Linked DNA regions of Struthio camelus. The protein of the gene in region 4 interacts with the protein of the main gene of each other region in a pairwise test. Links are inferred from orthologs where the notes say so. Each region holds a gene or a part of one and is shown on either strand. Other genes may lie near its edges.

What was found.
Region 1: the proteins of TRAF3IP1 (region 4) and SFR1 interact in a two-hybrid assay, tested with the Homo sapiens proteins (2 studies listed by BioGRID and IntAct). The link is inferred for Struthio camelus from reciprocal best matches to the Homo sapiens genes TRAF3IP1 and SFR1.
Region 2: the proteins of TRAF3IP1 (region 4) and KANSL1 interact in a two-hybrid assay, tested with the Homo sapiens proteins (2 studies listed by IntAct). The link is inferred for Struthio camelus from reciprocal best matches to the Homo sapiens genes TRAF3IP1 and KANSL1.
Region 3: the proteins of TRAF3IP1 (region 4) and SNAP91 interact in a two-hybrid assay, tested with the Homo sapiens proteins (2 studies listed by BioGRID and IntAct). The link is inferred for Struthio camelus from reciprocal best matches to the Homo sapiens genes TRAF3IP1 and SNAP91.

What each region holds. Positions count from the first base shown.
Region 1 is NC_090948.1:14,480,185-14,487,057, reverse strand, and holds the start of SFR1 (swi5-dependent recombination DNA repair protein 1 homolog), read left to right. Parts: upstream 1-3,868; 5' UTR 3,869-4,230; coding exon 4,231-4,279; intron 4,280-5,388; coding exon 5,389-5,504; intron 5,505-6,613; coding exon 6,614-6,873. UniProt on the Homo sapiens protein: Component of the SWI5-SFR1 complex, a complex required for double-strand break repair via homologous recombination. Acts as a transcriptional modulator for ESR1.
Region 2 is NC_090966.1:4,396,925-4,404,825, reverse strand, and holds the start of KANSL1 (KAT8 regulatory NSL complex subunit 1), read right to left. Parts: upstream 3,023-7,901; 5' UTR 2,963-3,022; intron 2,198-2,962; exon of another isoform or gene 2,082-2,197; 5' UTR 1,922-2,081; intron 1-1,921. UniProt on the Homo sapiens protein: Non-catalytic component of the NSL histone acetyltransferase complex, a multiprotein complex that mediates histone H4 acetylation at 'Lys-5'- and 'Lys-8' (H4K5ac and H4K8ac) at transcription start sites and promotes transcription initiation.
Region 3 is NC_090944.1:47,477,869-47,484,865, forward strand, and holds the start of SNAP91 (clathrin coat assembly protein AP180), read right to left. Parts: upstream 3,018-6,997; 5' UTR 2,900-3,017; intron 2,221-2,899; 5' UTR 2,194-2,220; coding exon 2,064-2,193; intron 1-2,063. UniProt on the Homo sapiens protein: Adaptins are components of the adapter complexes which link clathrin to receptors in coated vesicles. Clathrin-associated protein complexes are believed to interact with the cytoplasmic tails of membrane proteins, leading to their selection and concentration.
Region 4 is NC_090947.1:2,128,707-2,136,026, reverse strand, and holds the start of TRAF3IP1 (TRAF3-interacting protein 1), read right to left. Parts: upstream 3,020-7,320; 5' UTR 2,853-3,019; coding exon 2,730-2,852; exon of another isoform or gene 2,561-2,729; intron 1,846-2,560; coding exon 1,777-1,845; intron 1-1,776.

The DNA.
Region 1 (6,873 bases), on a different chromosome or scaffold from region 4:
AAGTTTTATGATGCTTCTGGTGCACTGAAGGAACAGAACACATAAAGGTCAAACTGGAATCTCTAGACCCAGAGTCAGTATCCTTTATTATTACGATCTACTTATGCTGGCTTTGCTACTACAGATGATGCTCACAGTGGACTAGAAAATATTCTTGTCCTGTCAGTGTTGATATCTGAACTCTAGTGCTTTTCTGGTAATGTAAGATTAAAGAGAGAGACCTTATATAAAGAATATTTTTCACTTGTGCAGTCAAGTCCTGGGACAAATTGTCTGCCGTTAAACTGGTGTAAACTGAAAAAAAAATCTAATCATTGAAGTGTAATCATAGAAGCACCAAAGCGTACAGAAAACAAAACTAGGAAGCACATTTTCCTCCTTGTTCTTTAGGGAGACAAGTTTCTCTGCCAGGTTCAAAGGGTATGTTCTGCAAATAGATCTCAGTAATTTTATCACTCAGTGAACAATTTCCTATAAAGACTTTTTTTCTCTTATTTTGCTTAAATAAAACTATTCTGGTCGCAAAAGGAATAAAAAGTAATCAAACAATATGAGAAACGTTACACAGTGTGCCATAAATATGCCAATATTGATAATATATGGAGCGTCTCTTTTTCCTCAGGGGAAACAGATGTACTTTTTGAGAGGATGGGTTTAGTCTAATTCTTGCTTGCAATCATGAAGTGTTGGATAACATAATATCCATCTCTGTTGGGTTTTTGCAATAAAAGGGCTGGACAGGAACTCGTAAAGAGATTACAGTTTAGTTCCCAGCTGTGTCAGGGACCTCCTGCCAGATCTGATCTTGGGCAAGTCGCATGTTTTCACAGGACTACATAGGTAAACTTGGTAAACACAGGTAAATACTGAATACCAACCTGAAACAGGATCTTTTCCAAGAGTGATTATGCATTGGTGAATACAACTGATAATATTTCCTCTTCTCCTCTTTGTGTAGCACATACAGCTTATAAACCCGATGTGTGGAACTGTCTTTCTACATTCACAGTTTCAGACACGCTGGAATCTTCACCTGGGGTGGGGCATGTGGGTGTTACTGCAATAAAATAACAATGATAACACACAGGGTGACTGTTCTGTGTATCTACTTTTTCATGTGTTACGTTCCTGTAAAACCTTCCTGGAGTCTCAGCTGGCAAAAGATCTGAAATCTCAAACTTTCTGTTGCTCTTGTGCAACTCAACCACTAGCATGTCTGTGCAACACAGCATGACTAATTTTTAAAAGGAACCATCACTGAGACAGAAAGAAACATGTTTTGAACTTGGAGACATGCTGTCTCAAAGCTGCTGTGCATCTGAAATCCAGCTCACTTGTAAATGTGGAGTAGGAGTTCTATTAAAACTGTTACTGTTGTATTGAGTAGCGCTGTTCTGACATACCATTTTTTAAAAAAAGATTTACAACATGAAATTAGTTGCAGGTATTAAACAAAAGGGATATGTCACATTGGGATTTAACAAATGCCTCAGAATTCCTTCAAGCAATAGTTATCATCTGAGTTTTTCTGCTAGATAACTAATCACACAGCTTGGTCGTATAACGTAACTTCCCCCATTTGCTACTGAGAACATTATTTCTACATCCATGCCACCCATAGATAGTCAAGTGATACTCAAGGAATAATGCAAAAGCCCAAAGGTTTCCCAAATCGACTCATTATAGATTGTCTGTGAACGCTTGGATGCTTTTTACTGTAGGTGTTAGGCGAGAGAAAGGTTGCTATCATCACAGTGACTGAATCTACGCGTACTTATGGTCAAAAGCATGGCAACTACCACCATATTGTCATGCCTACACTCCACTGTGCTTACTCACCTCTCCAGGCAAAAGTGTATCCTGTCTCAATACAGATGGAAGTTATGCAAGGCAATGGATAAATGCAGCGTCCTCATCTGTGGTTGCGAAGAGGAATCAGGCAGGAAAGTAATGCAGTTCTGCCATGCAAATTAAGGGCATGATCTGATGAGACTCGCAAGTCTGTACACTCCACGCACAGCAATCGGTACGCGCTGGGTGAGGACTCATCATGCAGTCCAGCTGCGGGCAGTGCCGGAGGGACCACGGATACATCATCCATCTGCTGGCGGCAGACTGGGAAATACAGCCCTTACGGCTACTTCAGCTGTTTTTCCTCAGCTCTGAAAGTTATACCGGAAAAGCCTTCTTTAGACAGATCAGTCTTGAGAAATGTAAATCCACACAGGGAGAACTGGCCCGCAGCATGGCAGGGGATTTGGCTGAGAAGGCTGATTTGAGAATTACGCTTGGTCAGCAGCGCCTTTGAGCGCCAGGGGCCTCTGGTCCAGCGCTGCGCCCCATAAGCGCACCCGTGGCTCGGGCTGCTCCCGCACGGGGCCGCTCCCTGCGGCCATCCCGTCTGTTTTTCCAGTCATTTCTTTTTCAGCTCTTTCGCTGTCCCTTACATTTGAAGCCTGGATTTCCGAACCCCCTTGGCTTGCCCTCCTCCCAGTGCCTTCCCCCAGGACAGCTTCCCCCCTTCTGTGAGGAGACGGCAGCTGAGGGGAAGGCGCAGCTCGGGGCAGCGGGTGGCAACCCCTCTTGGCGGCACCGAGTGGACCGGCTGTGCAAGCACGACCTCCACCAAGATGGCGCCAGGCCTTGGGCAAGGTCTGGCCGTAACACCACACAGCCGCAGCAGGCTGGTGCTGCATGCTCCACTGCAATGGAGGAGTGTGGGGGATCCTCAAAGGTGCCCTGAGCCTGGGGCTCCACAAGCTCGGCCCCATCTCGGCAGCGACGGCAACCACGCTTTGTTCTTTCGTTTCCTTCCTTCCTTCCTTCCTTCCTTCCTTTCTGCCCGCCCGCTCGCCCGTCCCACTGCCACCTTCGCGCGCCCGCCCGCGCCGCTTTGCCCGGCGCGCGGAGCCCCACCCGCCGGCCACAGCGGCGCAGGCGCGCTGCGAAGATCCCCCTGGCCCCGCCCCTTTTCTCCGGAAGCGGGAAATTGAAGCGGCTGCTGGCGGGCGGCCCTTGGGGGTGGGTGCGCAGGCGCCTGGCACGCTGAGGGGTCGGCGGCCGTTGGTCGCGGCGGCGGGTGAGGTGCTGGCGGCTTGCGGGGGTCCCCTCAGGTCGGCGGGGTGCCGGGTTCCCCTAGCGTGGGCGGGACGCTGCCCCCCTCCCCCCCCGGGCTGGCGGGGTCGGTGGCACCCCGGGGGTTGGCTGCGCTGGCTCTCAGAGGGCTGCTTCGGCCACAGCGTGCCCCGCGCTCCGTGAGGGGCCTCCCGCCCCTCCGCGGCCTGCGAGCAGCCTCTGGCTTGGACCGTGGCCTCTCGGCGGGCTGCGCCCCCTTTCTGCGCTGCCTCTGGGCCCTCCTCGGTGTCCTGGTTACGCATCGGGGGGGGGGGTGTGGTCTCAGAAGGAGCTCTGAGGGGCTGTGACCCTGCACAGGGCTGCCCAGCCTTCTTCCTGCCTACTCGAGGGGTGGAAAACTAGCCAGGCATGACAGTGGCGGAGGGTCACTGCAGCCCTCGGTTTATCGGAGGAAAATGTAAACGGAGTGAGTGCTGTTACACAGCGCAGCCGTAAGCAGGAAAACTGAGGCACCTAGCGTCGGGGAGTTGTCCAAAGCCCCGAAGAAGTAAGTACTGGAGTGCAAAATTGTCTTTTGCACTTCTGGTCCAACTTTTCCTTACTTAGTGGACAGAGTTATTTTTCTGTGTGATTAATAGCATTACTACTTGAAAATGCAAAGGATTCTTAGGCTGAGATACTTGGGAAGGCTTTTAATAGTGCAGGAGAGAATTGTGAACATGTTACTCTAGAGACAGTTACAGTGTTAGTGAACCCTTGAAAAATCTTTGTATTCATGGTCGTTTCAAGACAAATACTCCGCATTAGAATGTAAAGGCAGTGAGTCACAGGATTTTCTTTTTTTTCCTGGAAAGAGTTGAACAAATGTTGAAGCTAGCTCTCAGGTTTGTTGCTTGGTAGTAAGAGATTTATTACATACTTGTGATGTACTACATAGGCATGATGTAGCTTTTTCAGGGCCTCTTGCTCAGACTGAGAAATAATAGTGATAACTTACATTATGTTTGACAGGTGCTGTGGGCTTCCTCTTTAATGCGCAGATTGCCAAGATACTTTTGTATCAGACTTTTGTTCCTACATAAAGTTTTTCTTTTTTAATGAAAAACCGTATGTTGAATTTTGAACAGCTAGGGGGAATGTTGACTTGCAAGATGAATGAGGACTCATGCCCTTGTTACAGAGCCTGGAGGACCTGAGTGGCAGGGTTAGTAAAGCTTTGGTGTACTGAAGCTTTGATTGGTTCCATTCCTGAAGAGGAAGCCCTTTGTGCCAGTCTTGTGTTGCCTGGCAACTTGTTTACAGGTTTTTATTTTCAAGAGGCTTCTGTTTCAAAACCCCTAATTGCAATTTCCAGGTACAGGGAGGTATAGCTGACAATTTTCCAGTTGCATGCTGGTCACTAGCAGGTGTTCACAAGTGCTAAACTCACTTAAACACTGCCAAATCAATTTAAAGTTGATACATGCTGAGAAGGTATGACTTATCATTTTAATTAGGGTGCTTCTCTGAGTAAACTGGGGAGGCTTAGTTTTAATCTAAAATTCCACTTGTGTGAGTAATTACTTTTTCAAGTAGCTTCCCCCAAAAGGGTCAAATAAGACAGTAGATTATTTTCACAGACATGGGCACTCTTTTCTTTAAAGATTAGTTGTTTATGTAGACAGACAATAAAAATCTCATGGCTCCCAGCAATTCTTTTATCTCTACTTGGGATGCAGCTAAATGGAAGGAGTGATTCTTCACAACCTGGCTTACTAAGGATTACTCCTGTGAGTTAGACAAGCAGTAAGGGTCATTCAGGTTAAGAAGAAAATAGAGTTTGTTTGAAGTGAGCTTTTTGTTGATAAGTTTGATGTTGCAGGATCTGACCTTAGGATTTATAGGCATATTATAATGGGCCTAGGTGCTTCATAAATCTTGCTCATTTTTAACACTTGAAAGGGCTCACCAATGTTATAGGTGGAAAAAAGCTAACACTGAAGAATAACTATACACTTTTAGTAATATTTATTTTAAGGAATACATGTTGTAGCACTTTATGAACGAAGGAGATGTAATAAACAAAATTCACAGTAAGATGCTTTGTAGCTGGTAGTACTGCTATTCATCCTCTTGAAGTAAAGCTGTTCACAATCCAAAATGGTTCTTAGCAAAAGAAATGTTTGTAGAACATCGGCAGATGTCTTTTTGAACGTAACAGATGGTAAGCTGTACTATTTCTTCTCAGGGCTTTTTACTCATCCCCGCAGCCATGTGGCCCATTATAATTAGGTAAAAATGGCACCGTGCATAATTTAATGTTTCTTTTAACAGAAATTGCTTTCTATCTGAAGATGGAAGAACCAGGGTTTGCTAAATCGACATCTCTGTGCAGTACTCCAAAGGATTCTGGGACAGCAGCTCCACAGAGCACTAGTTCAGGGAAACGGGTACGAAAACTTAACTTGTTTCCATTAACGTGACTTATGAGTGACAAAAATACTTAGAAATCGTCAAGTAGTCACTGAGGAACTGTTCACTGGAAGGCTAAAGTTATAAGTAGCTTATAACTGTAATTGCAAGGTTGTCCAGGTAAGAAGTGCTTTTGGTATACTTTGCTCTAAATATGAAAGTCTGTTACGAATGCAAAATGATGTAGCAGTATACCCAAAATGCCATGTAAATGCTAATAAATTTAATAATGTAATTTATTTTTATTTTTTTAAACCTCCTTTTTTAATTTTGTCTTTAGCTTCCTCGAATCAATCTTCTGGGTTCCTGTGCATGCAGAATTACTTCCTGTGACTTCTGCTTGCGCTTGAGCAAAGAAAATAAATCATCTGACTCTTGCTCTATGTTGTTTTTAAAAGACTCCAATATAGACTCTCCCATGTGTTTGTCTAGCAATGTTAGTCTTGGTCTTATTTTAATAGCCTTCTCTTTTGTGGCTTGTGACATCCTGAGCAGTTTTTAAGTTTCCTATGCAGCTTCATATGCATGTTTTTTATTTATTTAGCTCTGAATATGGAACACGCTTTGCATAAAGAACTCGATGCACTGTGCTTTCAGTTTGTATATTCTCTATAGTGTCTAGCTCTACTTTGATGTTTGTCTTAACACACAACTTAACATGTTGATGCTGTCAAATTGACTATGGCTTATATTACAAAAAAAATCCTTATGTAATTGAAACTATGGGGGAAGTAGAACAAAACAGAACAGAATTAACCAAGCTGAAATGTGCCCTGTGTCTTCTGTACTGAGACTTTGACAAGTAAGTTTGTCTTAATAAGGATTACAGCACGTGGTCCTTGAAAATTTGGAGGCACAGCTTTCCCATATCTTGCAGCTATGTGTGCAAGCACACATGAAAGGAAACGGTTAACTTTGTTCAAGTTTGTGAAAACTATAGCAACAATTAGGAAGTTAGGCTTTACAGTGACCTACATGTGATGTATTCTATGTAAATAATAAACAGGATATGAATCAAAGATAAGGTTATTCTGAGAAATCAGAACAATCTTTCTCCTTTTTTTTGTTGTTCTTTTATTATCTTTAGCCAATGAGTGCAGCTCTGAGGGAACGATTAAGAAAAACAAGACGTTCATTTAATGCTAGTTTTACAGTGGCAAAGCGGCTCAGAATAGACACTGAAGAAAAAGACTGTGCTGCTTCTGACGAAGCTTCTCTATCAAAGAAGAATATAGATTTTTCCAGATTACAAGATAGTCCTGAAAGCCTGGAAAGAAACTGCCCTGGTCATGCGCGTTTCAAAAGTTCTTTACAGAAAAGCTCTCCCTGTGGATCAACAGAGAATCC
Region 2 (7,901 bases), on a different chromosome or scaffold from region 4:
AGGTTTAAAGCAATAGCAGTTTAGACAGCATAGGAACAGGAGACATACTCGTACATTCAGGAAACAAGGTCCGACTATATCCACTTCACAAGAAGCCAATACCTCTAAGCAAAACTGCTGAGAGGACAGGAAAAAGTCTGACACAACTACTGTCTGCAGATCTTCCTTGGTACGTTCTCCAGCAGACTTTGGCTAGCTATATGCAAACCACTGTCACAGGCAAACCTCCCTCCTCTCAACTCCTGCCAGCTCGAGGACAGTAGAGAGGATCTGGTGTTATCTTCCTGTGTGCCCATTGCTGATCCACTCAGTCGGAAAAAGCAGACATCTTTAGTACCCCTCCTATAACCAAAAAGGAGGTTCTCTCTCAAGCTGCCAGGCATAGGTCCAGGCTGCACGGCACAGAGACCACCAGCAGCTTTTCTAGCTAGCAACATAAGGATGACATTGCCCTTCAGTTCTGCAGCAGTTTAAGCACTTTAACATTTTACTTTACTGCCCCTCCTCCAAGCTTCCTAGACTGAAGCACAAGGCTAATTAACTCAGATTTTTAATCAGAACATTTTGTTGCACAGAGCAACACTACTTTCAACTGTAGTAGACCCTCATTAGTTGGCATATAGCACACTTAAATCATAGGACTGACAACGTCTTAAGGCGACACAAGTATCCATGCAAGTGTCAAACTTCATACAGCCCTATAGTAGGTTTGGCCAATACGTTGATCTCTGGCGCTTTTGAAACAGGGACTGATCTCCAGAGAAGCGGCATGATGACTTCCTATCACTTTCAGGAGGAGTTGTAGGAACACAGACTTCTGAGAAGAAAGCGTTCACATTTAGCGATAACCTCCAAAACCTGTAACAGGGAGCTTTATTTTCTTATTTAAAGCCCACACAAGAACTTACTGTTATTAGGCATACACAGAATAAGAGCCTTTACTGTTGTGTTAGCCAACTGGAGATCAGATACCAGAGCAGATTTGTCTAATGTCAGTGTGAAAGGATTGAGCAAAGATTTTAGGTTTTCCTATTACAAAAGAATTTGTCTAAATTCAGTCCTCCATAATCGGACTGAAGTCAGGCTGCTTTGGCTTGTAGATCCATGAAAAAAGGGAACTATCCTTCCCTTCTATGTTTCATTTCAGCTTGTATTCAGATTCACTAACTTGATTATTATACCCAACTGCTTAGGACACAGCTCTTTTACTGTAATGACATTATCAGGATAACACATGACTTCTCAAAACAAGCACCAGCAAATCCTCACAACCATCCTTCCCAGATACAGTAGCACTATGGCCACTTCACACATGGGAAACCCAGAGGTTTGGGAAGGTGAGCAGATTTGCCCATCCGAGAGAACTTCAGTTTTCATGGGACAAAGCCAAGTCTATTAGGCCACACTAAAAGGTATACACAGAAGTCTCTTGAAATTAGAAATACACATAGAAGCCAGACCATGTCAGCAAGCAAAAGGAATCTGATAGCTGTAAACCTCTGTTTTAAGGATGCACATAGTAAGGGAACAAACAGAAGAGATCATTCTTTTTCATGGCAAGTCACACTTCTACATCCAGATGTAGTACATGAGGACAGGTAATACCAGGAAATACATACGTATACTGCCAAGAGGAGGCTGCACATCTCCTCGCTACATACGGGCATTAGAACCGTTTTTGAGAGAAACGCTCTGCGTATATGGAACGAAGCCACCTTTTCAGCCGTATTCCTGAACCTCCATGTTAAAGTTAAACATTTGCCAGGAAATTAGCGCGGAGGACCGGACTCTTCTCGTAAAATCAGAAACTAAAATAAAGCCTGTGAATACAACTCAGCATCTCAAACTCTGGTAGTTTTGCAGTGGGCGAAAGTCTAAGATTCTAGCTTACAATGGAAGAGCAAAGAACGGGAGCTCTTACCTCGCTGGACATCTTGGTAAAATCCATCCTCACCGACGGTAGTTCAGCAGGGACACCCAGCAGCGCGGGGAGGGACTTTGAATCCTTCCAGCCTCGACGAATTCCTGGTAGGTCTGCGAGTTCTTTATTTATTTATTTGAAGAAGTGGAAAATCCAGGATCTGTAAGAAGGGGTTGGGGGGGGGGGGAACAAAACGTAATTAGAGGGAGCAAACGGAGAGACGGCCAACAGACAGCACACCGACTTGCTTCCCTTCGCGGCGTCGTGCCGCCGCCTGCTCGACGTGCGGGGCCGGGGCGGCGGCGGCCGCGCCCCCGAGGGCAGCGCCGGGCCGGGCCACCCGCCGCCGGTCCCCGGCAGCCGCGTCCCACCGGACGGCGGCGCGGGAGGGGGGGGGGGGGGCTGCCCCCCCCACCCCGAGGAACGGGCTGAGCTCCCAGATCCTTCTAGAAGCCCCCCCCCCCCGCCCCGGGATCCTCCGGGGCTTCGGTTTCCTTCGGAAACCGTTGGGCTAAAATGGAGGCTCGGGGGGGGGGGGGGTGTTGCGCTCCCCCGCCCCGCACGCAGCCGGCCCCGCCGCGGCGGCCGCGGGACGACGGCGGGGCGGAGCGCGGCGGAGCTCGCCCCGGCGCCCCGCGCCCGCCCGGGCCCTCGGGCCGGCCCCCCCCCCCCCCCGGCGTGCCCCGGCTCCCAACTCACTCGGCGGCCGCGCGAGCCGCCCCCTCCCCCGCCTCGGCCTGGCGTCTCGGCTCCGGCCGCCGCCGCGCACCGGCCCGCGCCCCCCCCCCCCCCCCGCAAACGAGTTGCGGGACGGCGGCGGCGGAGTGGGGGGGGGGGAAGGGAAGGGGGCCGCACTACTTGGCCTGGCGCTGCCCGTGGGCAGCAGCGCGGGGAGCAGCGGCGGGTCCCCTCCGCCAGCAGCGTGGCGGGGGTCTCCCCCCCCCACCCACCCACGGCGGGTGGCCCCGGGCCGCCCCCACCGGGAGGGGGGGGGGAGGGGGGGGGCACCGGCCCCGGCGGCTCCCACATCCCAGCACCTACCTGCACAGCTCAACCAGCCTTGAAGTGGGGACCTTCCGCCCTCCTCCCCTCCCATTGGCTGCGCGCGGGGCATGGGCCCGCCTGGTTGGCCGGCGCCCCGTCAGTCAGCGCCGGGGGGGCGGGGCGGGCGGTGATTGATGCCGGTGCTCGGCTCGTTCCTGCCTCTCGCTTGTGTTTCCCGGAGAGGCTGGAGCCGGGGGGGGGGGTGAGGGGCACCGGGCCGCCCCCCCCCCCACACACACACACACACTGCGGGGCGGCCCCGGCGGCAGCCCGCGGCGGCGGCGGGCGGTGCGGGCCACCCTGTTGCTCTCGGCATCGGCCGCCGCCGGGGTTGGGGGGGGGGGGGGGCCGCAGCCGGCGCCCCCCGGGGCTGCCCCGCGGCCCGGCCGGGCCCGAGGCGGGCGGCGGCGGAGCCTGTGGCCGCCGCCCGGGCCTGTCCCCGGCGGGCTCTGCTGTGACACGGGCCGGCAGCGGCTGCCCCGGGCAGGGCCCGGCCGAGGCGCGGGCTGCGGCGGGCGAGCCGGGCCGGGCCGGGCCTCACGGGGCCGGTCCCGCCGCCGCCACGGGCCCGGCGAGGGAGGCGCCGGCGCTGGGGCCGCCCTGCGGGGGACAGGCCGGGCCTGGCGGGGGGTGGGCCGCGGCGGCCTCGCCTCAGGGCCGGCGAGGGGGCACGGGTGCCGCCGGGGCCTCGTGTCCCGCTGGGGACCGGACAGTCGGGTCCCACGGGTGACACGGGCCTCGTGTCCCACTGGTGACAGGACAGTCGTGTCCCCCAAGTCACACAGGCCTCATGTCCCGCGGGTGACACAGGGCTCGTGCCCCACAGGTGACACAGGCCTCATGTCCCACTGGTGACATAGGGCTTGTGTCCCATGAGTGACAGGATGGTCATGCCCTGCAGGTGACATGGGGCTCATGTCCCACTGGTGACAGGACAGTCGTGTCCCACAGGTGACTCAGGGCTCATGTCCCACTGGTGACAGGACAGTCGCGTCCCACAGGTGACTCAAGGCTCATGTCCCACTGGTGACACAGGGCTCATGTCCCACTGGTGACAGGACAGTCATGTCCCACAGGTGACACAGGCCTCATGTCCCACTGGTGACATGGGGCTTGTGTCCCATGGGTGACAGGACAGTCATGTCCCACTGGTGACACAGGCCTCATGTCCCGCTGGTGACAGGACAGTCGTGTCCCATGAGTGACTCAGGCCTCATGTCCCACAGGTGACATGGGGCTCATGTCCCACAGGTAACACAGGCCTCATGTCCCACTGGTACTAGGACAGTCATGTCCCGCAGGTGACATGGGGCTCATGTCCCACTGGTGACAAGACAGTCACGTCCCATGGGTGACACCAGGCTCCCATCCCCCAGGTCCCGTAGGCTTCTGTCCCACAGATGACGCAGGACACGCAGCCAGCCAGGGAGGGACATGGGGAGGGTTAAGCAGCAGCAGCGGAAGAGCTGAGCGCGCGAGATGGGGACAAGGGGGCGAAGAGGAAGCGCTGGGAGAAGGCACGACAGAAGCGCACAAAATGAGGCAGCCTGGGAGGCTGCTGGCGAGCGTTTGGGCTGCAGGAGGGCCGGAAATAGCCATTTCTAGCATTTGTAGGGAGTGTTAGCTCCCTGGATTGCTGGTGGAGCTGAGCTGCACGCACGCGCTAAGCAGAGGGTCCCAGGGTGGGAGGTGCAGGGAGAGGCACCCAGGGGACTGTCATCTGTCTGCTGTCATCTTCACACGGGATCTTTACGCTGGGACGAGTTGCTCGGCTTCGACGTGCTGCCAACACCTTCTGTACGTCGTTCTCTGACCTCAGCTAAAATGGTTTTGAAACTCCTTCCTGCACTTTGTTCTCCTTCAACAAGTGGTTCAGATCTTCATCTGAAAACTGGAGACTGTCCCAAGCAGTCCTGCTTGGCCAAAGTGGAAAGGTGCAAGCCTGCAGCAGATCCAGACCAAGAAGAGATCAGCTAACACGAGGAGAGCACTCGCTGCTCTGTGGGTAGCTCTCTGTCTTTGGCCACATCTGTGCTCAGGAAACGGTGCGCCTTGGCTGTCGAGTGAATTAAGTTGGAGTTTCAGTACTGTAGCAGACTAAAGTAACCCCAAAGCTGCTCCCTGGAGTTTATCATGACCCACTAACTTGCCCAAACGCTGCAACCTGTCTGGTGAACTCTACCGTGATCGTGCATCTTACAACGTCACATCTTTTCTCCCAGACAAGGTAAAGCCTTCCCCTGATTTCTTCTTATTCTGCCTTCCCACTTGAGTAGACATAATTGATGCCGTGGCGCAATTTATCCAGTTGCTGCCACTAGGTTTTTTTTTTTCAGTTTAGTTTTTATCCATTTCATGAGCTGGTTTTAATTCAAATAAAGGCAAGAATCCATGTCCAGCAGGTCTGGGACAAGATAAGCTCCTTTGAGCTTAACCGATGGTCTGGAGTTTCCTAAAGCAGCAATCCTGAGATGTTTTAGTCGTGTCCTAAAGAGAGAATAGCTGAAATGCTTGCAGCTTCTAAGGGATCATTATGTCTCAAGCAAGTTGTTAGGAGAGAGAAGCCAACATTTTTGCATATGAGAAATACCAGAATACAAATATAAAAAAGGAACTGCACTTGTTTCAGACAGGCAGCAGTGAGGTCCTGCAGTCTTTGGTATTCTTTGTGCACTAATTGCCAAATTAGTATATGATGCCTTGTATTGGGAGCTTAAAGCAATGAGAGTAACATAGTTTAGCACTCTAGATTTCCAAGGTGTCCAGAAACTAGTCAGTTGACTCTATGATCCTTCCATGCGACAAGAATTAGTATTTCCATTTGGGGAAACCGAGGCAGAGAGGACATTTAAGTTGCTCCAAATGTGTTAACAGCAGAGTCAACAGTAACGGTTCTTAATGCCATGGCTCCTCCCCAGGACAAGCCATCGTAAAATACCTCAAATGTCTGAGAAAGAGTGAGTTCTGCTGGATATTTCAAAGGAAGAACGTCTCAGTTCTAGCTCTGTGGGCAAGCAGCAGAGCTGTGATGGACACCTCCGGATCCATTTTAATCTCGAGCTTCCCTTCACCTCCCCAAAGTCCAGGTAGTTCCAGCCACCTGATGGTGCTGATGGAGAGACACTGTTAAAACCAGAGGCTTTGCATGGGATTCGCTGAACGTTTGTAACTCATCTAGTGTGTGGAAGCAGATCGCCTTCTGTGTCAGAGGATTACCATGCATTCGTTACTAAATGCAGGTAGTCTTTTGCTGTTGAACAGGTATTTTAAGTTTTAAGGACCAAAATGACAGTTGAGTTTCAGAGGAAACTTCAAGTAAGACCATTTAGATGCTGGCCATGCTCCTGTTTCTTCAAGATTGGCTTCTAACTTTTCTAAGCGTGTCTAATAATATACATCAGCAGCGGAGCTGAAGCTGGATTTCAGCAGATTTGCAACCCCTCCTTCCAGGAAACCCTGCTGGGGGGACCCCCCGGTGCCCACAGCGGTAACCAGCCGAAGGAGATGCTCCTCCGGGGGGCTATGTTTGTGCAAATGGCTGAAAATAACTCGTCAGCTTTTTTTTTTTTTCGACGACGTGGGCTAAAAGCGTTACCCTCCTGCGACAACTCAGCTCGTCCGTCTTGGGCGCCGTCTTCAGAAAAACGCGGCTGAGCCGCTCGCGCGCGGGTCTATGCAGAGGACTGGATACCGTGCAACCAAATCTCCTCCGGCGGTGGAGGTTGTTCTCTGGCGCAAGACAGCTCCTCCGGTGGGGGGAAACGTCCCGACCCGGCGCCCCGGGCCGGGTTTGTCCTACCCTCCGTGACGGGAGGTACCCGGCTCCCGAATCGGTGACAGAAAGTACGTCCGCCTCGCCCAGCTTGCTCTGAAGGCAAGCGCCCTCCTGATGGCCTTCGAAGGACCCGCGGGCACGTGGCGTGGACTTCCGGCCCTGCTGAATTTCCTGGCGAAACTCCTCTGCGTTTAAATGAAAGTTCACAGACTTCTGACGCGGAGCGGCCCCTTTTCGCCCTCCTCTACCTCCCCGGCCCCGGGAAGGGCAGCTGGCGCGCGGTGTTGGCCATCGGGCCGCGGACACCCCTGTGGCGAGGAAGCCGGGCTCTGCGCAGCGCTGCCGGCGAGGAAGGGCCGTCGAAAAGCGGTGTTTTCTCCCCCAAAACAAAGCTGAGGGCCGCAGCGCCGGCGGAGGTTCGTCACCCCCCTGGAGCGCGTGTGTCACCCCCCCCCCCGGCGTGGGTGTTTCGGGGGGGGGGATCGCTGCGGTCTCCCTCGCCGTGGGGACGCCCCACGAGGAGGCCGCGGCCCTGGGTTACCTGCCTCGCGGCGGTGCCCTCGGGCGAGACAGCGGGATGCGGCCCGTCTCCGCCCAGCGGGAGCGCCCAGAGGAGCGGCGGCGGTGGCGGTGACGGCGGCCGGACGCGGCCTTGGCCGGCGCTGCCCTCGCCCCAGGGCGAGCCGGGCCGGGCTGGTTGACATGGCCGCCGGGCCGGGCGGCGGTGGGTGCGCTGGAACCTTCCACGGCCCAACCACCGCGGAACCGCCAACCCGCCGCCCTCCCGTCCCGTGTGGGACATGCCATGGCCGCCCCATGTTCCCATCCTCGTGCTGGGCACACATGGTCACCTCATGCTCCCACTCCCGTGTTGGGCACACGTGGTCGCCCCATGTTCCCGTCCCCGTGTTGGGCACACGTGGTCACCTCATGCTCCCACTCCCGTGTTGGGCACACGTGGTCGCCCCATGTTCCCGTCCCCGTGTTGGGCACACGTGGTCACCTCATGCTCCCACTCCCGTGTTGGGCACACATGGTTGCCCCATGTTCCTGTCCCCGTGTTGGGCACACGTGGTCACCCCATGTTCCCGTCCCCGTGTTGGGCACACGTGGTCACCTCATGCTCCCACTCCCATGTTGGGCACACATGGTTGCCCCATG
Region 3 (6,997 bases), on a different chromosome or scaffold from region 4:
AGTATCTTCTGCAGAAGACATCCGAGTACCACATTCATTTGTCCCATCCTCACCAGCTAGACACACTGTTATGAGCTGAATACATTCAGTAATCTCTCTCCATTTAACTCACAAAGCCCAGCTGCTAACGAGGGCACCAGGAGAAGATCAGTCATGTGACATGACCCTCGGCCACTAAGATACTAAATAAAATTATGGAGCTCCTTACAGGACGCAGAACCACCACACCATTACTATAATTCCGAGTCTGACATAAATAGCCTTTAAACGTAGCGCTCCATTTACTATTGCACTTTTACCATTTGTCTATTACAGAGCATAACAGACAGCTTAAGACTCTAGTACTTGGTCCCCCATATCATTCTTCCCTCCTTTCTCTTTTCGTCTCTTTGTAAAGCATTGCTCCAACCACCTCCTGTGATCTTCTCAGGTACTTGAAGTTTTAATCATCTAAATCCTTTGCATCTCAACTCAAAACTTATCTTAAGCCATCAGAAAGTTTCACCTTTCATTCCTTTCTCCACATTTTCAAGTGATACTTATCCAACTTCAAATGCAGTCAGCCACGTGACTCAAAGCTCTGCCTTCACATCGAGCAGTATTTCCTGCATGCGCTAAGGTACTGCTCTTTCAGAGGATGAACTTTTAACTTTACTCTCTCATTACATTTGATCCATTTTAACTCTTGTCCACAAATAGGATGTCGGAGTTCAAGGAATTACTTAACAACCGACGGTTCTGAGGAGATGTATCAGGTCTAAAAACCTGAGTCTAACACATATGAGCATACACATGAGCAAGTTAGCTCAGGTGCTTTTTTTTTTAAATGTATGAATTTGTCTTTCATTTATAGTTCACAATTTTGAATGTGCATATCTCCTCCCATTGATGAGATTATTCCATCTTTAATGATATAGATATGTGATATCAAGATATCCAGTCTGTTTAAACAAAGATTTAGATCCAAGTAAGTCTTCAGTCAATGCTGCTTACATTGGCATCTCTTAGACATGTACCTGTAACAGAGTATTTAGATACACTTGAAGACTAGTATGTCATGTGTCACTTTAAGTGTTAGCTATGAAGTCACTAGCACTGAAATCTGGAATTATTTTCTAGAAGTAATACAACCTGTTTTTAAAAATTACAACATTAGAATTGTACTTACATGCACACGCACCACTTTTACTTAGTAACAGACAGCAGCCAAGAGACTGCTTGGTATAGGACCCTCTTTAAAGTGTTTTTGCCACGTGTTAGCATTTACAAATAAATAAATAAAAATAAGGAAGAGACCAAGAGTAGAGTGGGTTGAAAAGCAGTCAAGACAAAAACACTACCAGCAACAGAAAACAATACCACTATGCTATTTTCAGAAATGTGGTGACCTCGAGCTTCTTTCATGCGTTAACTAGTTGATGCAAGTCCAGAACAGATTGAAAAAAATCTTTGAGAGAAAGCCACCAGCCATCTTCACTAAAATGTGTTGCACAAGACCAGACAGATCATGAAGTTCTTCTTAGACATTTGGGACCTCAACAGCAGCCCTTAAACTCTCCAGACGCTGACCCAATCTACAGCCTACAGCTATCCAAGTACCTTGCCATTTAGAGTTACATTCATCTAAAACCTCTTCACAAGTCTGCTATGGAGGTGGCCACGCTCCTATCAGTACTTGGTCAGCTCCTGGCACAGCATTTGTGTCTCTGCCTGGCATAATCATGACCAAAGTATGCAGAAACAAGCCAGCGTCCATTTTGCCCTGTGGCCTTTCTGCTTGCAGAGCAAGGTGCGCTCCATAAGGCGCACTCTGCACTGCCTTCCTGAATAGGAAGCAAGGGGTCAAGAGAAAAAAAAAATGGCTGCGAGAGCTGTATTATGCAATAAGAGAAGAAATGCAATAACAACTCATCCTCTCTTGGAGATTTCTCATAACCCTTACGATTTGCCCGCAGCATGACAGCAAACACCATGGCCAGAACGCTTAAAGCCACAACAAGGAGCCCTGCAGGCAGCTGCCTTAGCCCCAGGTCTTCGCTGCTGACACAGAAAGCGATGCTTACAGTCCAGGTGCTTTTTCTTGGGCCCCATCACTTCATGCGTGGTAGCTTTGCAGACGGCTCTGGCTACAGCCGATCCCGTAACGCTGTACTGAGCAGCTGCGATGCGATCTGTCAGCGTCTGACCCGACATCTTCGCCTACTGTCGCTGCTGCCTGCTCTGCATTGGCGGAAAACACAGGAGGGGAAGGGGATATTCGGGGTTGAGCACCGAGGGGAGGCAGCGGGCGAACCGTACACCCCCCCCACCCCACGTAGGGGTCCCTGCAGCAGCCTGGCCCTCCCCGAGGCACAGGCCTCCCCCCCCCACCCCCCCCACGTTGTGTAAGCATTTGCCTCACAAGACCATTCGGGAGAAGATGCCCGAGGTATTTTGGGGTATTTTAGACACTGCAGGGAGGGGGGCGAATCAGCACACAAATAACGCAGGAACCCCGGCGGCGGGGGGGGGGGGGGGGGCGGGAATAGCCACCCCCCACCTGCCCCTGTCTCCATAGGGGCCTGCGGCGCACGCAGAGGCCCCCCCGCCGCCGCCGGGGAGGGGGCAGCGGAGCCGGCGGCGGGGGGAGGGCCCGGGGGGGGGCAGCAGGGCGCCGCCGCCCCCCCCCCCGCCCCGGTGGCAGCTCATCGCCTCGTCGCGCCATGTTCCGCCCGGCCGGGGCCGCTCCCCGCCGCCGCCGTCGTCGCCACCGCGGGCGTGCGGGCGAGCAGGCCGCCCCCGGCCCCCACCCCGCCGCCCCCCGGTCCGGCCGCTCCCGGCCCCCGGCCCAGCCCCGGGGGGCGCCCGGGCGCCGATGCGGTGGCGCAGCGGGCGGATGAAAGAAGCGGCCGCAGCAGACCTGTCAGCGCGTCCGTCCGCCCGTCCTTCCTTCCCTCCTCCTCCTCCTGCCGCCGCCGCTCCCGGGGAGGGCACAGTCTCCGCCCGCTCCCCCGGCCCGGCCCGGCCCGCTGGCGAGGCGCCGGCGCTAGCCGCAGGTGCGGGGCGGGCTGCCCCCTCCCGCCGCCGGGGATGCGCTGGGGCGTCCACGCCCGGCAACCGCCGCTGCTGCTATTTCCAGCCGGCGCCTTAATCCTGCCCGCAGCCTAATCCCCGCCGCTACTGCCGCAGCCAGCGCCGCCCCCTCCCCCGGTGCAGAGGGCGGAACGGCCCAGCCCGGCCCGGCCCGGCCCAGCCCGGCGCGGCGCGGCGCGCCCTCCTCCTCCTCCCACCCCCCGCCCGCCCGGCCGGCTCAGGTTGGTGGCCCGGCGCGGTCAGGTGACGCCGGGCTGGGCCGGTCGGCGGGGGCCGCTCGGTGCCGCAGGGAAGAGACCCCCGCCCGGCCCCGCCGCGCCTCTTAAAGGGGCCGCCGCCACCCGCCCGAGCGGCCCGGCCCGGCCCGGCTCGGCTCGGCTCGGCTCGGCTCGGCTCGGCTCGGCTCGGCTCGGCTCGGCTCGGCTCCCTGCGCCGGGCGAGAGGCCACTGCCGATCTCCGGTTGCCGCTGGGTGCCGGGACGGGTACATACGGACAGCGGCTCGGCAGGCCGCTGAAATGAAATAAGATAAGGTAGAAATGAATAGAGAATTCGTCTCGCACAAGCGGGGAAGTCCGCTGAGGCCGACGACGCTTCCGCTGTCTGCAGCATGGTCCTGTGGTTAAGGTGACAAATAATTCACCGAGGGATTGCAAACCTGCCCATAAATAGATGTCCCCGTAATATATGTACATATATATATATTAATTTTTTCTCGGTTATCTAAGAGACCCTAAGGATGCCGTGACCGCGCAGCGTTACGGTAAGGAAGGCAGATGGCCACTTCCAGCTCGGGCAAACCTTCACTTGGGGGAGTGAAGCGCAGGCGAAGGGGGGGGGGGGGGGCCGAGCGGTCCCCGAAACGGGGCCAGCGCGCATCCAGGCAGCCCGCAAGCCCTTGCAGGGGGTGCGAGGCGGGGCGGCCGGGAGCAGGGCTGAGAAGGCGACGGGCGGGCGCGCTCTCAAATCGCCGGAGCAAACAGCGCGTGTCGCCGCTGCTGAAACGTTTTCGCGTGTGAAGTGATGGCTGGGCTGTGTGGCATACGCAGACCACGCGGCCCCGCTTTTATCTGTTACGCTGGGAAGATAACAGTTGGCATCGCGCTGTACGACAGTACGCAAGAGACTGGAATGCGCCGTTTTTTATGGCTTCCCTTTTTTTTTTCCTTTCCCCACCGTAACGACCAAGAGGTTTTAAAGTCGTAGGTAGCCTGAAAGATTGGGAATCCTGTTAAAGCAATGCTTGAAAGTGCAAGTTAGTGTTTCTATGAAAAATCTCTTTCAAAACAACTGTTCGGCTGGTGCCTGTGACCGTGGAAGAGAGCTGTTACAATTTTCAGGCTTTCGATATTGGCTTCATTTGCTTCATTTTTTGCACAACAGGCAGAGCCATTTGGATTTAAAGATTCAAATGTTTTCTCAAATGCAGTGTTTGAATACAGACAGAGATTTCCTTTCGAGGAAGACATAACCTTACCAACTGTCAACCGTCGGGGTCCGCGCGCTGTGAACCTTCGCAGAAGTGAGGCCGGTGTACTGCCATAGTGAGTGAGCCCGCGTACGGCCACGGTGCCCGCGGTTGTTTGGCACTTCTGTTCAGCGATGAGTGACGGAAGAAATGCTGGAGTTGCACAGAAAGATGAGGTAACACTGTCTTCTCTAGCGCTGCTGTATGCAGTTCACTTGCAAGCAAATTCTACTCACATTTAGCAATCACGTTCCGTTTAGTGTGAAGCATTCGCCGCAGTTCAGTGGTAGTGGAGTGATTTGGGGGAGCTAGAAGCCTGTGTTAGCAGAGGCACACAAATAGCTTTCCGTGTATAGTTCACAGCCCATTATTCATTTCATAATGCCAATTGATTTCAGGAGCAGAAAGCAGCAGTGAGGATCTACAGATACCTCATGTTCCTTTACTGACGTTAAGGATGATTCTGAATTCTTCATGGTAATGCTGGCAAAAGTTTAGATTGCCTTGGCTTTCGGGAAGGCAGGAGGTTTGTTTTTAACCATTACGGAGAAAAAATACACTGAACGTTTAAGAGTTTGCTGATTTCACCCAGCAGGAATTGAGAGTGGCTTTGCTTGACACAAGCAAACAGGTAGTTTTCAACTTTACTGTAGGCAACTTACTGCAGAGACACAATTGTCTGTTAATGTTCAGTGTACATATTCTGAACCAAGTTACTGTGAAAGTCTGAACCAGCCCATATTGCTTTCAGCAGTTTCTGTCACTAAGAGTCTCCGCTGTATAACCAACAACCATGTTTATTAATGCTCCGCTCATTCTGTGTTTTCATATTGTCAAAATATTTACGCAAAAGATAAATTAGACAATTTGTACTATTGCCTTGAAAATTATGTGTTGCAAGTTGAGTTTAAAAGAAAGGAGAAAGGGATCCTCCAATCTATGCTGTTATAAACCGTGAGGTTGCCAAGTCGTGCACTGGCTTACATAAAAAGAACAAATCACAAGATATTTTAAATGCAGAAGTACAGAAACATTTTCAAGATGTTAAATTAATTTATCTTCTATTGTTTCCAGGAAAAAGAGTTGGTCTGTATCAACCTCACCTTCAGGCTCCTAAGTGGAGAGGAGGCATGTCTAGAGGCTGATTCATCCCATCCGACACCTGAATTAGGCACTAGAGATGGCTGCTTCTTCTCTGTGATGTTATAAAGCACGCAGGACTCTTACTTCATGCACTTGAAGTTAGGGCTTTCTTACCATACTCCTGCTTTTTTTTTTTTTTTGTTTCCCATCTGTTCTCTCATTTCCCAGTTTTCTTCACAGGTCTTCCAGTCGTCCGTCCAGGATTGATGCAGGCAAAGACTGCAAATTCATCTCGTTTGTGCCAAAGACTGAGATGGGCCGAGCGCTGTTGCCCTGTTGATGCGTGTTGCATCCCTGTTGCTCCTACAACCAGTGGTACAAACAGATCGCCTAGAGAGGCTGGCTGTAACCATAGTGACAGTAGCGGTCCTAAAAAGATGTGTGTAGCTCCAGCAAAGGGAGTATCAAAGGAGGTGCATTCTCCTGACTCGGTAGAAGGAGCCAGCAGATAGCAATATTCTCCTTGCGCTGCTCCCTGCAGCAGAAGCATAAGCAGCAGAACACAAATACCTTTTGGTAGCTGCCCAAATCATGAAATACTTAGGAGTTTCTCTGCTTCCGATGTTAAATATAACTCCTCACTTGATCTCATGCAGCTTCTCTCCATGACAATTCATACAAGTCCTCCTACGTACCCTGATTAGGCCAGTTGTTCATTCCACTAGTTGCTTTGCTTACTGTGATGATTAAGCACCAATGAGAAATTAAAGGAGGTGATCAATTTTCCAATCGGAATGATGGCCAGAGAAGGAGGTAGCCTGACTACGTCCTATACATCCAAAGCAGATTATTTATTAAGTTTTGGGGACTGCTTGAATTACTTTCCCTGTTTATAATTTTCAGAGAATAACACCACACAGGATTAGAGTACAAGCTAGGATGTGTGAGTACATACTCTACAACCCATATGAAATGCCTTTTTTACCCCTGAAGAAATGAAAACATTAGAAGAGGATTTAGATAAGGAAGAGAATTAATATGAGGGAGAAAATTATACACAGAATAGCTGACCTGTAGTGGTCAGCCGAACCGTATCACACTGAGATCATGATGTGTAGAATATAAAGTGATTGGCACATTGCAGACTCGTTGATTACATGGAAATGGTGATTGGCATTTATTGTCCAGTTCTGTACAGAACATGAGACATGTTCATTTACCTTATCCAGTATGCTGGTTCTCCCAAGGACAACCTTAAAATCTGTATTATCTTAGAGGAGATCTCTCTTGACTGCTCCGTTGGTGGACTTCACAAGGATAACTTTGGCTGCTGGAGTAGCTTTTTGGATTGAGTCTGGTGATAACACCAAGGCTA
Region 4 (7,320 bases):
ACTTTCTTAGCTGCAGACTATGCTTCTAGTGATCTGCAACTGCACCACACAACCAGCTTCCAAAGAACAACTGCCAATTTTCTCCTCCCACGGCAAGAACTCTGGACTACAGCATCAGGACTGGGTACAGACCTCTCCTTTTTCTGAGAGCATCCTGCCCATTCCAAGTCTATGTACCCATCGCCGAGATCCTCACACCAGATGAGTACCATCCCTTGGTGTTACCTAAAGCAGATCACCTTTGCATGGAAATATATACAGCTATTCACAACATGGACTCTAACTCTCCGCTGTTGTCTCTAACTCTCTGCAGGTAGCTCTGGTCTCCACAAAAAGATTCCTCCCCCTTTTCCTGCCATAAAAAGATCACTCTCCTGATTTTCTAAAACTCCAACAGAGATTATGCTAACAAAGCATCTTGTGAGCACAGAGTCTTCCCCCTGACCTGTGTTTCGAAAAGGGGAACACAAACTATAGCTGTTTTCCCAGCATTGCAGCATTTTGATCTCCTCTACCTGAACTCATGAAAACTATGATAGCATGGACCGCGGAAGAAATTCTCAGAGAAGTGCTCAAGAGGTTCATGCAACTTCACAGATGTGACAGAATGCAAATACAGAAGCAAAGATCTACTTTAGAGTTGCTAGGAAATCTGTTTTTTTCAGTTCACAAAACAAAAAAATGCACAGGGCTCTCCAAACAAGAGTACTTTGCTGCTCTTCATCACAGAACTACTAACAAGCTTCAGCAGGGAAAGTACCAAATACATACACATGTATAAGTCTCTGGTATAACTAATTTAGATGTTAGCAATTCAAATAACAGTATGAACATCCACAGAAATAAATGTACACATCAGACTAGTAATTATCTGCACGAATTGCACAAACCATCTACGCCACTGGTTGTATACAGATCTCTATACCAGATAAGCCAGGCTCATAGACCTTGTATTTGTAGTTGCTACACTAAACAATTTGCAGTGGACATAGCTTTCTAACTAGGAACTACATTATTTGCCATGAATTAGAAACTCAAATGACAATCTAGCTTTGAATCAAGCCTGTAGTTGGAGAAGTCAGCATCCCTGGCGGAGCAGAGAGGCAGACAGCAGAGGAAGAGCAAACACAGACAAGAATCACTCTTGTAAGGAACAAAAATATTTTTCATTAATAACATTAACCTCCTCTTTCATTAATTAGGTATTGGTAGATAGCAATAAAATTATTATAGATTGTATACACCACATGAGCACTTCAGAAAGTCCTGCAATATTAAGCAAGAATATTTATTGTGTATGCATATATATATGTGCATGTATATAAATATATATATATTTTAAGTAATAAATCTGAAAACACACATTCTGTAGAGAGACCACCAGTCTCTTAGAAGAGCTGTGCATGGATTTTTAGCATCTGTGATTTTATTATCAGTGGCTATTTACCTCAACGCAATCTTATTACATGATTATTATTATCTGTAATACAATAATACTTTGAAAATCTAGATCTCGTCATAGATTAGATCTCACTGTTTCAAGATCTGTATAGAAACAGTTCTTTTACACAGACATTCCATGAATGGAATCTGTAGGTATTCTCCTTAGGCACTACATAAGATAACCAATATGCAATACCTCCTACTATTTCTTCACAATGTTAAATTAAAGACAATCACTTGAAATTGAACACAGAAATGATGAAAAATACCTTGTGGCAGGTTTGAAAGAATCTTAATATTAAAACCCAATAAATAAGGAAGTTTAATACCCACCTTAACGTTATCTGATTTCAATTCAAAATCCGTGTAAAGTCCTTTCATAAAACCTGTTACTCTGATTACCTTCAAAACAGAGGAAAAGTAACAGGTTAAGAAAACTTCTTGATTTTTTTTTTTTTAAGAAAACATTTATGGACAGGAACGGTCTCTGTGAACTTCCTGACAAGAGCAAACGTATCAGTCTTACTTTCAGAGAGGATACGTCATTTAGAATTAGTTCTAGAGCAGGTTCAGAGGTGTGCTGTATCGCTGAATATGCTCTCGAACATGTTTCAGTGAAACTTACTCCTTCCTTACTGTCCCTTCCCACTTAAACCCATACTTAACCTTGATGTTTGGGAACCTTGAAGGCTGAGACACATGCTTTTCAAATGGCAATGTTAACTTAGCACCAGGGTACAGGATTTCAACGCAGCTCTCGGTTATTCCCTTATTGATTTCTTTACATGCAACTACATACAAAAGCAGAAGCTCAGTAAGTACAAAAATTAAGATTCATTCTAAGCGGGAGGTGGAAAATCAAGCTGCTTCAACGCACACTTCATTAGCATTTACAACCTTCCAACAGCAGATTTCACAAAAGACCAGCTCCACACTGGACCGGAGGAAGAAGTCAGACCCCTTGCCTGGTCTTAACCCCCCGAAAGCCACGCTAAGAAGCCGGTTTACGTCTTCCCCACCGCGAGCTGAGCTTCCGCAGCCGCCACCCCCTGGGGCCACCCAGCCCCGTGCGCCCCCGGGGGCTTGCGGGCAGAGCTCCGGCCTCCTCAGGCCTCACCTCCTCCAAAGGCCAGGGGCTCTCCCGCCCCACGGCGCGCACAGCGGCCCCGCTGCCCCCCGCAGGCCCCTCCGCCCCCGTCAAGGAAGCGGGCCAGGCCGGCCGGCCGGCCCTGTTGCCTAGCAACCAGCGGAGCGGAGCCGGGCCGGCGGCCAGGCTCCGGGCCCACCTCGGTGATCACGTCGTGCAGGTAGCGGAAGGGCGGCTTGCTCAGCAGCCGCTCCGTAAGGGGCGGCTTGCGGATCACTTGGCCCAGCGACTCCTGCGTCCGCCGCACCACCGCCTCGTTCATAGCGGCGGCGGGAGCGCGCCGCCGCCGCCGCCGCCGCCGACTTCGAGCCTTCCCAAGCTGCCCCGCGGCGCACGGAGCCTCACTGCACAAGCGCAGCTCCCACGACGCTGTTGCTAGGCGCAGCGGCGCGGCCCTAGCAACGGGCCCCCGCGGCCATGTTAGGCCCCGCCCTCGCCTCGCCCGTGCTAGGCCTGGGCAAGGTAGTGGCTGCCTCAGGGCGCCCCGCCTTGCCCCCAGCCCAGCAACCCCCCCCCCCCCCACATACGCCCTCCTACCTTGAGGTCACTGCCTCCTCCAGTGGGGCCTAAGGCCCTGCTAGCTCTGAGGGACCCAGCTGCCAAGGGAGTGTCTTCAGGGGGGCTAAAGCCCTGGGCTGGGCTGCCTCTTGCTACTGCCGGGAGTGGGAGCGGGGCGCTTTTTGGTTGTCAAGTACCTGCAGGAGAGGAGGGTGTTGCTTAAATTTGGGATCTGTTTGCGTGTTAACCTCTGCACCCCACCCAGTGATGCCCACTGTGCGCCAGGGATGAACGGGAGGATGGATGCCCTTGCCCCGTGGTCCTGCCCGGAAGCGCCCACGGGCGCCTACCCTGTGTGTTGCAGAAAGCGTTTTCCTTTGCCCCGCAGGCCAAAACTGTGTTTTCTGTTGCAACGCTACTTATACGATGGGATAAGATAACGCCTTATCTTGCTGTCCTGGTAATAAGTCAAATCTAGAAAACCATGACATTTCCACCATGGATATGCAGGTCAGGCCTAGGGCATGAGCGCAGCAGGACCAAAGCTTTGAGGAGGTGCTGGACTGGTTTTGCCTGACTGCTGTTCAGCAGCCCTGTGCCTCCAGGAACTGCCCCAAAGACAAGCCGGCAGCACGCACACGCTAACTCCAGCTCTTCCTGGCAGCTGTGGAGGTACCGCAGGTGCTGTGGGGCACACTTGTGTGTGAAGACCTGTCTCCCAAGTGCCCAAGTCACTTTGCCTGCACAGTCCCTCAGGGTAATATATGTGCTACCAGCATGCGAATATGTATTTCTGTCTAGTCCGACTCTTGACTAAATAGTCCTAAAGCCTTGCATGGGGAGTAGCCAGAGCCAGCTAGTTCAGAGTGGCCTGATGGTCACAGGTCCATGTGACTTCACAGGTAGCATGGAAAGAATTTTGTCATGTATCTGTCAAAGCTTAGTCCCCTCTCCAAATGCTGTTCACAGAGTACTTTACAAAATAGAAGTAAGATGTATCTGTCAAGATACAGCATAATTTTAAACGTATCTAAGTCTTACTCTAGGGCACTCAAATTGAAAGTGGATGCAAGACGTAGCTCTTTTGACTGCAGAAACCTTTGGATTTTGTTTTAAAGCCAATGAAGTTATTTAGTAACAAAGATCCAAGAGCAAACAATTGGCTTCAGCTTCCTAAGGTACTGAGCTAGTCAAAGTTGAGTTCCTTACTCAAGCATTACCTACAACACGGGAACAAAAGATAGCAAGCCAGAATGTTTACTGAGGACCAAAGTTTGGACCTGAGGAGAGAGTGATTCCAGCTGCTTCAGAACTGCCGGATAGTTGTAAGTACAAGCCACCCGAAAGAAAAGGGAAAAAGTTTTGCTGCCCAGGCTGGCCAAAATTCAGCTCTATATTCAGACACTATTTACCAAATATAAGCACAGTGAAGCAAGTATAAGGTGTGGCAGCTTATTACATGAATAAAATTTAAGATCTGCGGGTGTCCAGCAATGTCAGAACAGCTGGAGCATCTGGGAAAGAGTCCCTAGAATGAACCCTAAAAGCATTTTGTCTGATACAGCTAGTCAAAACCCAATCCCTCATTTGAATAATTATCAGATAAATAGTGAAGCATTAAGTGTTTATAAAGTTAAATTATATCTTATGGTATTTTTTAAATTGTTCTTGACATAAAGAAGTAGAAAGAGTGAGATTGAGAAGAAGGAACGACATTCCAAATTCTCTGATCCTATATCACACTCCCCCTAAAGTCAGGACAAGCCAATTGAAGGGAAATAACAACACAGGACCACCAGCACCATCATTGTCTCCTACAGGGACATTCCTACCAGATAGAGTACTACACACTCTGTGCAACCTGCTTTGTGGTTCCCACCTTACAACCTTTATCAAAAAGCAAAAACTTTGTTTCCAAGTGCTTGTTCATGTTGCTTCCTATCTTCCTGATCATGTTTGGGGCCCTAGGAAGGAAAGTTCTGCTTTTCTGCTCAGCCCGTTGTGACCATTAATTTTTGAAATCTAAACTTCAATAGGGCTACATGCAGTCTGTACTGCTGTGCACTGTGACTGCCTGCCCATTTAACAGCCCAAATTTGCAGCTCCTCTGCCTTGCTAAATAGCACTTTGCAGTTGTCACACTCCTCCTAAAAGGAATTGTTACAAGTTCTCCCATGCCAGAACCAAGTCTTCGGATAAGACAGAGTAGAGCCTGAGTGAGAATGAATCAGACTCAGATTTAGGAACAAAAAGGAAGACTTTACAAAACAGATTTATCTGGTATTAGTTCAAGCATGGAAAGAGGTTATTTTTCTGCAGGGGAAGACAAGTGGACAGCTTGCATGCTGACAGAGTAATTACACCTGGGCCCCTGAGAGCAGGTAGTTCAGCAGGAGGAAGTTGTAGGGAAGCAATTTGTCTCTTCTCTCAGTCTGACACAATCATAAATTGATGCGGTTCCCAGACAGATTATGACTACAGGATCTGGTGAGCCTGGGAAGAAGACGACGTGTTGACAGCTTCTACATCCAAGGGCATCAGAAGGAGTCTCAAAGGAAGCAAGAAGACTGGGAAGAAGCTGCTCTGGGGAAGAAGGTTTGTTTATTTTGGAATCATGTGGTTTATCTGGACTTCTGCCACTAGCTCTCTATGGAGTGTTTGTAAAGCCTGAGAAGGAGTCTCTGGGGCTTTGTTAAATTTGACCTTTAGCATGCTTGTTTCACTGAAGAGGTAGTACCCTGAGGAAGCACGGCTCAATGTAGCTGAAGAATCAAAAGCTGGCAACTTACAAAAACTCCATGAATCCCTGTGGATCTAAAGGGAGGCACTGGAACTGAAAGAATTATCCTAAAACCACAAAACAGATAGCCTGAGGTTTAGTCTGGAGACTAGTGCATGAGGCTTAGTTTGGAGACCTAGTACTTTTGAGGACCTTGGACTAGAATTGCTAGTAGAGGTTGGGCATGTTGAGACCTTCTCACATGGGGTGAAAATACAGAGAGAATATCTAAGACTTGGTAAACACGGCAAAAAAGCAACTACGGTTAGTGAACTGTGTGAGCAGCAGAAGTGCTTACACATCTTTAACATTCCATTGAGAATCTCACACAATCCTCCTGAAGATGCCAGTAGGAAGTGCTGTTGACCACATAGCGTCAATAGGAGATGAAGCAGCTTACAGATTGACTCATGCCAAGATTCACAGATCTCGCACACGTTGCAAAAGTCGTCCCAGCATCAAGAGGGTCACAGAGAAACTTGCTGTTTCAAACAGACCACCACTACTGCAAGCAGCAAAAGACATAATGCATATTGCCTTTTCCTCCAAGTTTTACCTCCTTCCACAGCAGGAGACCCGACCTTTCCAGCCACTAATTTGACTTGATACCACAGAATTCCTTTGCTGAAGTAGGCTGCAAAGCAACAAGGTGGCACTACAATGCGTATTGCTAGCCAAATATTTAAGGCCTAACTGCTCAGCAGCTGGAATGGAAAGCTTCCTAGCTCTATTTTTCTTTATATACCACAAACAGTAGGGTATTATCTCCATTCCCAAATGACCTTATGATCTCAGTAGCATACATGTGCATATGTATATGTATATGTATATGTATATGTATATGTATTTGTATTTGTATTTGTATTTGTATTTGTATTTATACATGCAGTTCCCAACCTAGGTCAGCCAAACTACCAAATGCTCCTGAAAATTATAGATGCAGCCTGACAATGGAAAGCACCCACTTCCTGTCTCAGACACAGACATTTCTAGTATGGACCAGACCAGAGGACAGTGGTATCAGGGCATGAGTAACATGGAGGGACATGCAGACTACATGAACAGCTTTGAACAGCTCCTGCAACATTTTTAGTGATGGTAAACAGCTGAGCAGGGGATCCTGTCCAAATCCATGGGTAGTCTGTTGAACAAAAAAAGAGGAATTTTCTTGGAGCATAAAAAATGTTCTTCCTACGTAATTCTGGTTTTGTATTACTTTTGGGATCCTACTTTTTGGCTGTAACCTTGCAAAGAGCTGGAAGAGGCATAACAGATTGACAGGCTGCAATAGCTTCTTGAGACATAGGAAGGTGTTGTTTCTGTTTCTTAACAATTAAACTTTGCTTTAGCTGGAGAGTTAAACAGATACAGACTCTCTGGCTATATGCCCTGAGCCAAAGCTGCTAGAATAAGTGAAGCACCTGGTTGATTCACCTGCCCCATAAAATACTCT